3 linked regions of the Arabidopsis thaliana genome follow. The protein of the gene in region 2 interacts with the protein of the main gene of each other region in a pairwise test. Each region holds a gene or a part of one and is shown on either strand. Other genes may lie near its edges. The genes, in order: RFI2, ZFP8 and AT4G23860.

Evidence for each region.
Region 1: the proteins of ZFP8 (region 2) and RFI2 interact in a two-hybrid assay, tested with the Arabidopsis thaliana proteins (one large-scale study listed by BioGRID).
Region 3: the proteins of ZFP8 (region 2) and AT4G23860 interact in a two-hybrid assay, tested with the Arabidopsis thaliana proteins (one large-scale study listed by BioGRID).

Annotation. Positions count from the first base shown.
Region 1 is NC_003071.7:19,552,596-19,556,352, reverse strand, and holds the start of RFI2 (RING/U-box superfamily protein), read left to right. Parts: upstream 1-1,705; 5' UTR 1,706-2,001; coding exon 2,002-2,194; intron 2,195-2,567; coding exon 2,568-2,740; intron 2,741-2,861; coding exon 2,862-2,920; intron 2,921-3,027; coding exon 3,028-3,053; intron 3,054-3,142; coding exon 3,143-3,431; coding exon of another isoform or gene 3,432-3,510; coding exon 3,511-3,757. Other genes in the region: AT2G47710 (Adenine nucleotide alpha hydrolases-like superfamily protein), read left to right, coding at 397-580, 683-777, 1,015-1,136, 1,221-1,308. UniProt on the Arabidopsis thaliana protein: Mediates phytochrome (phyA and phyB)-controlled seedling deetiolation responses such as hypocotyl elongation in response to red and far-red light. Required for light-induced expression of LHCB3 and CHALCONE SYNTHASE (CHS).
Region 2 is NC_003071.7:17,505,332-17,509,088, forward strand, and holds ZFP8 (zinc finger protein 8), read left to right. Parts: upstream 1-2,011; 5' UTR 2,012-2,224; coding exon 2,225-2,998; 3' UTR 2,999-3,285; downstream 3,286-3,757. UniProt on the Arabidopsis thaliana protein: Probable transcription factor required for the initiation of inflorescence trichomes in response to gibberellin and cytokinin. Is not involved in the regulation of trichome branching. Is functionally equivalent to GIS2.
Region 3 is NC_003075.7:12,406,905-12,410,661, forward strand, and holds the start of AT4G23860 (PHD finger protein-like protein), read left to right. Parts: upstream 1-2,102; 5' UTR 2,103-2,261; intron 2,262-2,390; exon of another isoform or gene 2,391-2,393; 5' UTR 2,394-2,431; coding exon 2,432-2,515; intron 2,516-2,629; exon of another isoform or gene 2,630-2,879; coding exon 2,880-3,038; intron 3,039-3,137; coding exon 3,138-3,410; intron 3,411-3,497; coding exon 3,498-3,757. Other genes in the region: LACS4 (AMP-dependent synthetase and ligase family protein), read right to left, coding at 32-108, 234-282, 359-415, 533-622, 711-774, 1,205-1,359.

The sequences.
Region 1 (3,757 bases), 2.0 Mb from region 2:
GAAAGTTATCAAACCAATTCATATCAGTTTGTTACTAAAAAGCTAATAACTGTTAACCTGCAAAATCCTTTTATGTACTTTGTTTTATGGGTAATATTCAAATTAGAATAAATTTTGTGTAAAATCTGTGGGTTCTTCTTATTTAAAATCTGTGGGTAACTTTAAATATTGGGAAATTTACTAATGGAAAGGCATAAAGAAATGAGGACCAGCCACGTCATCAAATCAAAGTATCACATTCCTCTTTTCTTTTTATTTAAAGAAATTAAATAATAGAAGAAGAAGATACCAAAACTCTCTTTTTCTGTGCAAACACTTTGGAGGATTCTTCTAGGCTTCTTTCTACCACAAACACAAGAGCGCGTTTTCTTCACGCCGGCGAACAACGTCAGAGTCATGGCCACCGGAGATGGGAAATCGGTGATGGTCGTCGGAGTTGACGACAGCGAGCAGAGCACTTACGCCTTGGAGTGGACGCTCGATCGTTTCTTCGCTCCTTACGCTCCCAATTATCCTTTTAAGCTCTTCATCGTCCACGCCAAACCTAACGCCGTCTCCGCCGTTGGTCTCGCTGGTCCCGGTACGCTCTTTGCTTTCACTCTCGAATCTACTCTTCTAGGGGTTCTGTTTTGGGCAGCGATGGGGAGAGATCATTTAGGTTTTGTTAATCTGTGTGTTTTAGGAACTGCGGAGGTTGTACCTTATGTTGATGCTGATCTGAAGCATACCGCTGCTAAGGTTGTCGAGAAAGCCAAAGCAATTTGTCAGAGCAGATCGGTACGATCTTGCTATTATCAAACATTCAAATTCGTTTTATGTGTTTCTTGGATTTTATAATCGTCATCATGTGTTGTATTGGACTCTATTAGATGAGTTTGGTAATGTGAATGTGAATCTCTAGCACATTTAAGAGCTTCAAGCTAAGTAGCACTGGTTTTTCTTATAGTAACTATCTATCTTTGGTTAGCAACTATCTTCTTCTTTTCAATCATCATTCCTAGGTTTGTTGTGTAGGTTCATGGCGCGGTGATCGAAGTTTTCGAAGGTGATGCAAGGAATATCCTATGTGAAGTTGTAGATAAGCATCATGCTTCTATTCTTGTTGTGGGAAGCCATGGATATGGAGCTATCAAGAGGTATTATTTCATTCAGCCTTAATTCTTATGATCAATCTTTCAACTATACACCCATTCTGATTCACTTGTCGGTTTGTGTGGCAGGGCGGTTCTCGGGAGTACGAGTGACTACTGCGCTCATCATGCTCATTGCTCGGTGATGATCGTGAAGAAGCCTAAGATCAAGGTCTGAAACCTAAGGGAAGGCTACTCGGTCAAAGCAAAGTCTCTGCATAGTCTTCTAATTCAGAAGAATAAAGTGAAATAATATTAGCTTGATGTGAAACAACGATTCAAGACAATATACATTTGCATCTATATGTGTAATTGTTTACTACATACAATGTTTTGGTATCCTTAGACAATCAATATTCGTGTGTTATAATATGCTAATCTTTCTCATAACAAAATGGATGTGAAAGTTATAATAAACTTCATATGAAAGAGACTAGAGAAGAAAACAAATCAACTAAATAGAGATTAATGATTTAAATGAACAAATTTATAGTTTGGTTGTTGGTTCAGATGGATGGATGGTTTGATGATCATCTATCCAAAACTAAAGTAATAAAATAATAATAAAAAATTATCCACAATGGGAGAGGAAAGAAAAGAAAAGGGAGAGTCCAATGTCATTGTCCGGTTTTGAACCACGTCATCTCTAACAGGTCGGACGAGAGAGAGAGAGAGAGAGAGAGGAAGAGGAAGGATAGATTTACCGCATCGGCGTTCCAAAAGGCAGACGAACTCGGAGAGACAGATAGCGATAGCGAGACATGGTTTCTCATTGATTTTTGTTTGACAATCCTTTCTTTTCTTTTTTTTTGTTCTTTCGAAAAACGAAAATTTTCGTTGGTTCCCTCCGATTTGGCCTGCTGGTGAAGATATGGCCGGAGCTAAAGATTCGGGTTGCGATGATGATCTCCGAATTGCTGGTGGATGTGACCCTGGAAAACGCGGGAACCCGGAGGATTCCTCGTCTCCTGTCGAAGTCTCGTGCTCGATTTGCCTCGAATCGGTGCTCGATGATGGTACCAGATCCAAGGCTAAGCTCCAATGTGGTCACCAGTTCCATTTGGGTATTTCATTCCCTTCCTCCATCTCTTACCATTTTGCGTTCCCTCCATCACAGTTTGATGATCCGATGGCTTTTTGCTTGTACAAGCTTTTGTGCAATTATCTGATGGTAGATTTGGACGATAATTGAATGAATTTGAGAATATAGATGGATTCCTAATCCCTTGCTTTGTTTACAAGCTTAGATTGCCACGACTCTGCAGTTGGTTGATCCTAGAAATGATCGAGTTCTGACAAATGTGTGTCGTAACTTGTGAATCGGTTTCTTCTCTTGTGTAGATATAGAATGAGGCTTGCTAGTTCTATTATCTGGCTGCTGAATTTGTTGCTATTTTCGGCTTTCCCTTTAGCAGCTTGTTTTTTGGTTTCTTGCAGATTGCATTGGATCAGCATTTAACATGAAAGGAGCCATGCAATGCCCTAACTGTCGCAATGTCGAAAAGGGTCAGTGGTTGTATGCAAACGGTTCTACTCGCCCCTTTCCAGAGTTTTCCATGGAAGATTGGATCCCTGAAGAAGACTTGTACGGTTTAAGCTATCCGGAAATGGTAAAAGCTCACTACTTTGTGCAACGATATGCTTTCTTTTCGTGTACATGAGAACTGTGCTTTTATCATATAACCTCCTTATGAGAGATCGCTTATCCTGACATTTTTACGGGGTTTGCAGCAATATCGGGTCCATTGGTGCCCGTTTGGTGAACTCTCTCAAGCAGCAGCTTCTTTCGAGTAAGCCTACAACACCTTTACCATGGTTTTTGCTATTATCTCTCTTTTCTAAGGCTTTTGATCCTTCAAACGCGAAAGCTAGAATTGACTTTTGCTCTGTGTTTCAGGGAACTGGAACCTGCAACCACTACATGTAAGTTAGACGCTGATTGTTCTGTATATAATCATTTCATTTTGTCTAGCAATCCGTTTATAATGTCAAAACCCATATTTCTTCCTTAGATCATACTGAGTTCCATGGACATCACGCCGCTGCTGTGAATCATTCGTATCTTGCATATGTTGGACCTGGCCCAGCCGCTACCCCGAGAACTAGCGACAATAACAGCACAGATGATCATCCCTGGAACAGCCACTCTAACGATCACTTTCACCAGCTTCCTGTTGCCCCCCAGTATCATCACCATTCCCCATCGTTTTCACTACCCGCTGCTCATGTGGTTGATGGTGAAGTTGACTCTTCAGCAGCACGAGGCCTACCTTATGCGCATCCATTTCTTTTTAGTCACCGGTTAGCTTCTCAAACTCCCTATTGCTCTCAACTTCTTGCAGAGTGTTTTACAATATTCTTTTGGAATTGGGCATTGTAGGTCTAATCAAAGGTCCTCACCAGCAATTAACAGTTACCAAGGAAGCAGCACCCAAATGCGTGAACAGCATCATGCTTATAATCATCAGAGGCAACAACATCATGCCAATGGTCCCACTCTCGCATCACCTCTCATCTCCATGACAAGAAGGGGATTACCGCCGCCGCCACCTCCCCCACCAATGCCAGATCAGAACGTTGGATTCTTCATTTATCCAGGTGGACACCATGAACCAGAAACCGATCAA
Region 2 (3,757 bases):
ATACAAAAAAACATTCTCATTAACTATATAATTTTAATAACAGTTAAAACTTTCATATTTGCATGCCAAGGCTCTCTGATGAGTTTAAATGTTAAATCGCATGTGTAGGTTTAAACAGAGTTTATTGTTTGTGGAAAAATAAAAGAGACGTGGACTCGTCATGTGAAGTCCAAAATCTGCAAAATTATGTATGTAAATTAATGTACTTTGGGACCAGCATTCGTATGGACATTATTACCATAGTTGAATTTACTTCCCTTTCTTACAATAAGCTTTTGATTACTCATATATACCTCACACATGTTATGTGAATCGGTAAATTCATACTATATGTGAGGAAGTCACTTACAACAGTTGGATTTTAAAGGGAATCCGTCTGAAAAAAATTTGGAGAAAAAAAGAAATTGTTTTGCTTACATAATTTAATTTAAAAATTATAAATAACAATACTTTTATAAGAGAATAGTTTATCTGTTGACCAAAAAAAAAGGAATAGTTTATCTATCCACAAATGGATGATCCATATTGGAGTATATAGAACGATAAGAGATGATTCGATACGTACTAAATGAAAACTTTGAATACTGTGTATAGTAAGCAATCAGCATTAGTTTACAAGATCTTAGTTTTCGTAGGATTAGTTTAGACTGTTTAGTAATTTGATTCCAACCATTGTACAGGAGAAAATTTTTACCGCTCAAAACAACTAACTGAACGTCATACTTAATTGGGAATTTGGGAGTCGTCAAAGAAATGAAAAAGGTCAGATTAATTTATGGATTAATGAGTTTTATAGTCCTTATTCCAGCTTGACATTAGCAACATATACATTATTTGTGTGACATAATCAGGGAATATATATAATCAAAATTAATGGGATTTAAAATTTAATTATTCTTACAAAATATCAAAAAATTTAGTGTAGACGAACAAAAAGAGAATACATATATATATATAGTTCATTTGAAGAAGACGTGTATATGATCGATCCGAGTTGATAAGTATTAACAGATTACATACATATTGATAAGATGATGTGATCTCATCGATTAAGGTTCAATCTTTTAAATTGGTTAACTATCTGGTGATGACATGTCAACTAGTCGATTATGAGCATCATTAATGATCATGAACATGGACCACCTCTCTCTCTCTGTAAGATTATCTTTGCATCAAAGAGACAAAACATCCAAGAGACTAAAAGTATGGTCCTTGAGAGAGAAGAAGTCTCTTTAATTAGGTCTTTCTATTTCTCTCTCTCTCTATTAGTAGTAAAATCCATGTACTTATACGTAGACATAATAACCAAATAGGTCCGTGATGTTAAAGAGTACACACCTAACTTCACCTTGCTAATGATCTCTTACCTACAAACTCTCACTGTTTTTAGTTCATCTCATTACTCACTGTGACCCCATTTCATCTGCTTACGACCAATTTGGTAAGCTTTTTGTCTTAGTTTCAACATTTGCAGGAATCACTTTAAGAAACAACTAACTAAAAAGGAGATAACTTTGAAAAAGGAGGATTGATGGGTTTGTTTTTGATGAGATGGATATTTGTATATGTATGTCTAATGAGAGATATATTGCGTAGGGGAAGTGAATGTAGATTAGAGGTCTCCCTATATATTGATTGATTTTATCCGGCTATTTTTACCTACCGCGACACACGGTATAGATTCATAGTAAGCTACAATTTAAACACAAGATAAATCTGTAATCATATAGTATAGTACTATGCTTCCATATATACCCCATATTTACGTCTCCTATGCTTCCATACGCTAATTAGTTTTTTTTTTTTTCCAACCATAATTGCAGGTTTATATAAACATGAACTAACGAAAAAAATAAAATATAAACATGCACCATGGAGTCAATTTTAAAATTCTATGAGGTTTGATTTTCAAAAGGAAAAATCTAATATACTAATGAAAAAATTGAGATCATAAAAAAACTAATGAAGAAGTAGATTTATTTATTTTGAAAAATATGTACAAGTGAAATGTGGATCATTCTTTAGCTATATATATATAGGTGGATAAACGTAAAATCACGCACGCGGCCATGCTGCAGGGGTTAAATAGCAATTATGTATTTACCTTAAAAAGAATTTGGGAACCTCTCTTTAAATTAATGCAAAACCTCATCTCTTGTCTTTCTGTCTCTGAAACAGTCAACCTCATTCTTCTCAAACTCACTCTCCCTGATCTCTCTCTTCCATGGACGAAACCAACGGACGAAGAGAAACTCACGATTTCATGAACGTCAACGTTGAATCCTTCTCTCAGCTTCCTTTCATCCGCCGTACTCCTCCCAAAGAAAAAGCCGCCATTATTCGTCTCTTCGGCCAAGAGCTCGTCGGTGATAACTCCGACAACTTATCCGCAGAACCTTCTGATCATCAAACCACTACCAAGAACGATGAGAGCTCTGAGAATATCAAGGACAAAGACAAAGAAAAAGATAAGGACAAAGACAAAGATAACAACAACAACAGGAGATTCGAGTGTCACTACTGCTTCAGAAACTTCCCAACTTCTCAAGCCCTAGGTGGACATCAAAACGCTCACAAACGTGAACGTCAACACGCCAAACGCGGTTCCATGACATCATACCTTCATCATCATCAGCCTCATGACCCTCACCACATCTACGGCTTCCTCAACAACCACCACCACCGTCACTATCCGTCTTGGACGACGGAAGCTAGATCATACTACGGCGGAGGGGGACATCAAACGCCGTCGTACTACTCAAGGAATACTCTTGCTCCTCCTTCTTCTAACCCACCGACAATCAACGGAAGTCCTTTAGGTTTGTGGCGTGTACCGCCTTCCACGTCAACAAATACTATTCAAGGCGTTTACTCATCTTCACCAGCTTCAGCGTTTAGGTCGCATGAGCAAGAGACTAATAAGGAGCCTAATAACTGGCCGTACAGATTGATGAAACCCAATGTGCAAGATCATGTGAGTCTCGATCTTCATCTCTGACTTCTTTTATTTTATTTTTTTATCATCCATCATTGCTGTGATATATGAGACTCGCTGATCGGTGAAGCCAATTCTTTTGAGAGTGTTGGAGACTGAAAAAAAGAAAAAGAAAACGAGAACCGGTTTGGTGTGTAGATCATCTTGAACCTTTTTGAGGTTTTCACATTCTGAGTTTATATTAATAAAGGGAATAATATTTTGGTTAATTAGTAAAATTCGTTCATCCGTTTAATTTCCTCTCACGTGTGTGTGAATGTGAATGATATAATTATCGTTTTTTTTGTTTGATTTCATCTGTTCATTTGTGAGTTCTGTTATGGCTTCCTTCAAGACTCTCTATAACTTTCAGAGAAAGAGGAACATTAATTTAAGGGCCATGGAAGTCACACGTACTTTCTCTCTGTTGTTGCAGTCGAGATATTTAAAGTCTTAACCATTAAAAACCCCAGAAGACTCTTTAGATACAAAATGCTTAGGGTCTCTGTCTAATTAAAACGGTCTTTTACCGAATCAAGAGGCAACGAAGGATGGGTAAATGCAGATGTTGATGATGATTCGGTGACTGTGGGGATCACTGAAGACAATGGACAAGACAAAAGGGGAGAGAGAGAGAGAGAGTTGAGAAGTGAAAGTGGTCCATGATTACAAGTGTAGAGTTAGCCAAAGATAGAGCTTTCACATCTTTCTCAACACACAGAACCTAAAGCTAAAGCCTTTCCTCAAAAGCTTTCTTCTTTAGTTTCTTTTCTAACCTTTTTT
Region 3 (3,757 bases), on a different chromosome or scaffold from region 2:
ATTTCACACAAAATATATATTCTTACTGTACCTCAGAGATCTTCTTCTCTTCCACAAAGACAATTGAAACCTCTGAATGGGAAATGATGAATTCCACAGCATCAGCACCTATAAAATTGACACGCAACAAAAATGACAAATAAGCTAGCTAAAAGATTTGTAGAAGCTCACTGGAAATCTATTGGCGAATTTATCCTTCTAGAGTATATTGGGAAATACTAAAAAAGGCATACCTAGTGTATCATATAACGGTACACAATAGAGTCCATGTGCATTACAAGCCTACATCAAAAGTGCACTGTCAGTCCTCTAACAAAACACAATCAATGACATAATCATGATTCAGCCGCAAAATTACCTCCATGCTGATAATCCACTCAGGAGAATTTGCACCATAGATACCACATTTTGCTTCCTAATATCCCACATATCAGGAAACACAAGATTAAGCAAGGGAATAATCACATTGCGACAAAAAAAGGAAATAATGAGACTGAATATAGATATCTGAAAGGAAAAAGATGGATCTTACGTCCTTAACTCCAACACTTCTGAGAGAATTTCCAAGTTTCATGACAATGTCGTAGACTTCTTGGTATGTTTGCCAGACATACTTACCCGGCTAAGAACAATCAAAATAACAAGTGAATTTTATAATAACATGAAACGAAAATCACAAAATCAAAATCAATAACAAACAGTAACAACACCTTTCCATCTACAATCTCGCGGCGTCCCAGCATTGGATTGTTTGGATACTTCTCAACAGACATGCTGCAATAAACAATAACAGTAGAAAAATGTAAGTCAACAACCACAAAATATCACCAAACCACACACAAAGCAAAACAAAAAATGTCAACCAAATTCATGCAACTGTTAATTAATCACATGCCACTCAAAACGATGTTATTATAGACAAATGGCAAAATCATTAACCAACAAATTATATTTCTATCGATTAGAGCAACTTAGGTAGATCTTGCGATCCGAAAAACTTAAACAAACATGAATCAAATCCAGATAAACACTAGACGAAATTAAACTATACGATTCTTACTACTTGAGAATCCATAAAGAGCAAAAAACGCAAGTCAGAACAAATTCCATGATCAGTCAACAGATCAAGGATCAAAATCTCAGCAAGAATCGGAAACGAGGCTCATGCAACACAAACTCCGATCGGTTAAACGAGAAATCTCACCGGAAAACATCCCAACAACTATCCATTCCTTCGATCGGGTCGGGAAATCCGTCCTTGGCAAAGATACTCCGGTACACTGGACCAACTGATGGTCTTCCATCGCTACCTTCTTTGCCTTCTTCAACTTGGAAGATGTATTTCTTCTGCTGCGACATGATCTCTCTCTCTCTCTCTCTACTTCGTTCTCGTTCTCTTCTCTCTCTATCTGTAGAACGAGAAACTTCTGACGCGTTTTCTCAGATCGGAGAAGAAGTTAATAGAGACTTTCAACTACGACTGCGATTGGTTGCTACTCACTGACCATAAACCTGAAAAAGTCAAAGTCATATTCAACCTCTTATTGGGCCGTATACGTATCATCATATTAGGCCCAATAAAGTCATATTATCCAAATTGAAATTTATATTAGCCAATATTTAGATTTTATAATTAAGATGTCAAGAAACAAAACAAAAAGTGTGTGATTTTGATTTAAATAACTTTAGATTTTATCAATATTTTATCCCCCAATTTAATTTTTTTTTTAGAGGTTATCAATTAATCTACGATAATTAAAAATATGCTTATTACTCTATTAGTATGTGTGTTTGTGGATAGATTTGACTAGTTGCACACAGATATGATATTTGTTAAACATTAGTTATCAAAACAAAAAAATAAATATAAATTTTCAATTCATAAAAAACCATATAAGCAAGAATTTGAGATTTTGATATCCGTTTAATCTCGATACAAATTAATATTAACATGTACATTATCAAGTAACAATACTTATCTTGTGCTTATGCTTAGTTGCTGATAGTGGAGGGAAAAGGGTAATAGAATTGGAGGGTTAATGGCGGGAAAATGTCGATAAAGTCCCTTCCTTTATATAACATACATAAATTTTCTCGCATTTAAGAATTTTAACATCCGCTAGATCCTTCTTTCTTCCAAACCCTTAAGCTCCACCTTCGTTTTCCCCAATTTCTCTCTCTCTCTGCCTTCGTTTATCTATGTCTTGAAAAGTGAAAAGCTTTAGGGCTTTTACAAGTCTGAGAACTCCATCAATAACCTGGTAATGGTCCGATTGACATGTTTGATGTTTTGCGAATAATCTAGGGTTTCATTTTTTTTAAGGAATTTAGGGAATATCTCGTTTGAGTCTTTCGAATAGCTTTTATTTTACCCAATTTCATGTTTTTAGTAGTGAATTCAGGTGGGAATTTGTGAAGAATAATTGCGACAATGGCATCTGGTGTTTTCGAGGATGAAGCTGAAGGAACTATAACGATCAATGAATATATCGAAAGGCTTGACGCAGAAGAGCTGGTAATGTTCTCTTTCTCCTCTTGATCAGTTTTAAAGCTTATGTATGTTTCTGATCCTTACGAAAGTTTAATACTCTTCCACATTTTCACTCCTTGGTTGGTGATAAATCGTTTAGATTTAAGTGTAAACAAACGTCTTGAAATTGGATTCTGACCTTAAATTGACTACCTTTTCTGAAGCTAGTGGAGTGTGTTGGATTGTTATTGTACAGTCTCTGAGGTTTTGGCTAGCTAGTAATGATAGTGTGTGTCTCTTAATTAGTTTCTATTAATTTCAGTAGTGTGTATCTGTTTCTGTAATCCTATGTTATTTGGGTTTAGGGGTTTAATATTCATTAACTGCTTTTGTGATTCTTGATGTTAAGGCAGCGGATTTGGTGTTGGGTGGAGATGAAGGAGATGAGTGTACTTTCCCAAAGGGTTACATGAAAAGGCAAGCAATTTTCTCATGCATTACATGTACACCAGAGGGGAATGCTGGAATTTGCACTGCTTGTTGCTTATCTTGTCATGATGGCCATGAGGTAAATATGGTTGATATATAGCCAGGTTATGTATTTTGAAATCTGATTTCATAGTGTTAATTGGTTTCCTAATGGTTGAACATTGTTCTGGTTATGAAGCTTTTGGAGCTGTGGACTAAGAGAAATTTTCGATGTGATTGCGGGAACTCAAAGTTTGGAACTTTGGCTTGTAAGCTTCTCCCGAGCAAAGATATAGAAAACTCTGAAAATTCTTACAACCATAATTTCAAAGGCTTGTACTGCACTTGCGACCGACCTTACCCTGACCCAAATGTGGAAGAACAAGTAGAGATGATTCAGTGTTGTCTCTGTGAGGATTGGTTTCATGAGGAGCATCTCGGTCTCACACCTTCAGACAGTGTTGGTAGCCAGGTTTGTGGCCAGTGCTTAATCTTGTTGTTTACGATTGATTTTTTTTGTTGTTGGCGCTTAGTGCAATTTGTTATGTGATGTTAACAGATTCCAAGGGATGAGGAAAGTGAGCCGATCTATGAAGATTTCATTTGTCAAAACTGCTCCCCAGCATGTTCGTTTCTGACACTTTATCCTGAGAACTTGTGGGTTGTTGCTAAAGTAGATTCCACTGGTTCTGCTAATGCTTGTTCAGAGACAATTGAGTTAGACAAAAACCACATGGATTCTGAACCCGGCCAGCCAGAGAACGGTACTGATGCTGAGAAATCTGTTGTAGGAAAATGTTCTGAGACGATCAGTGACTC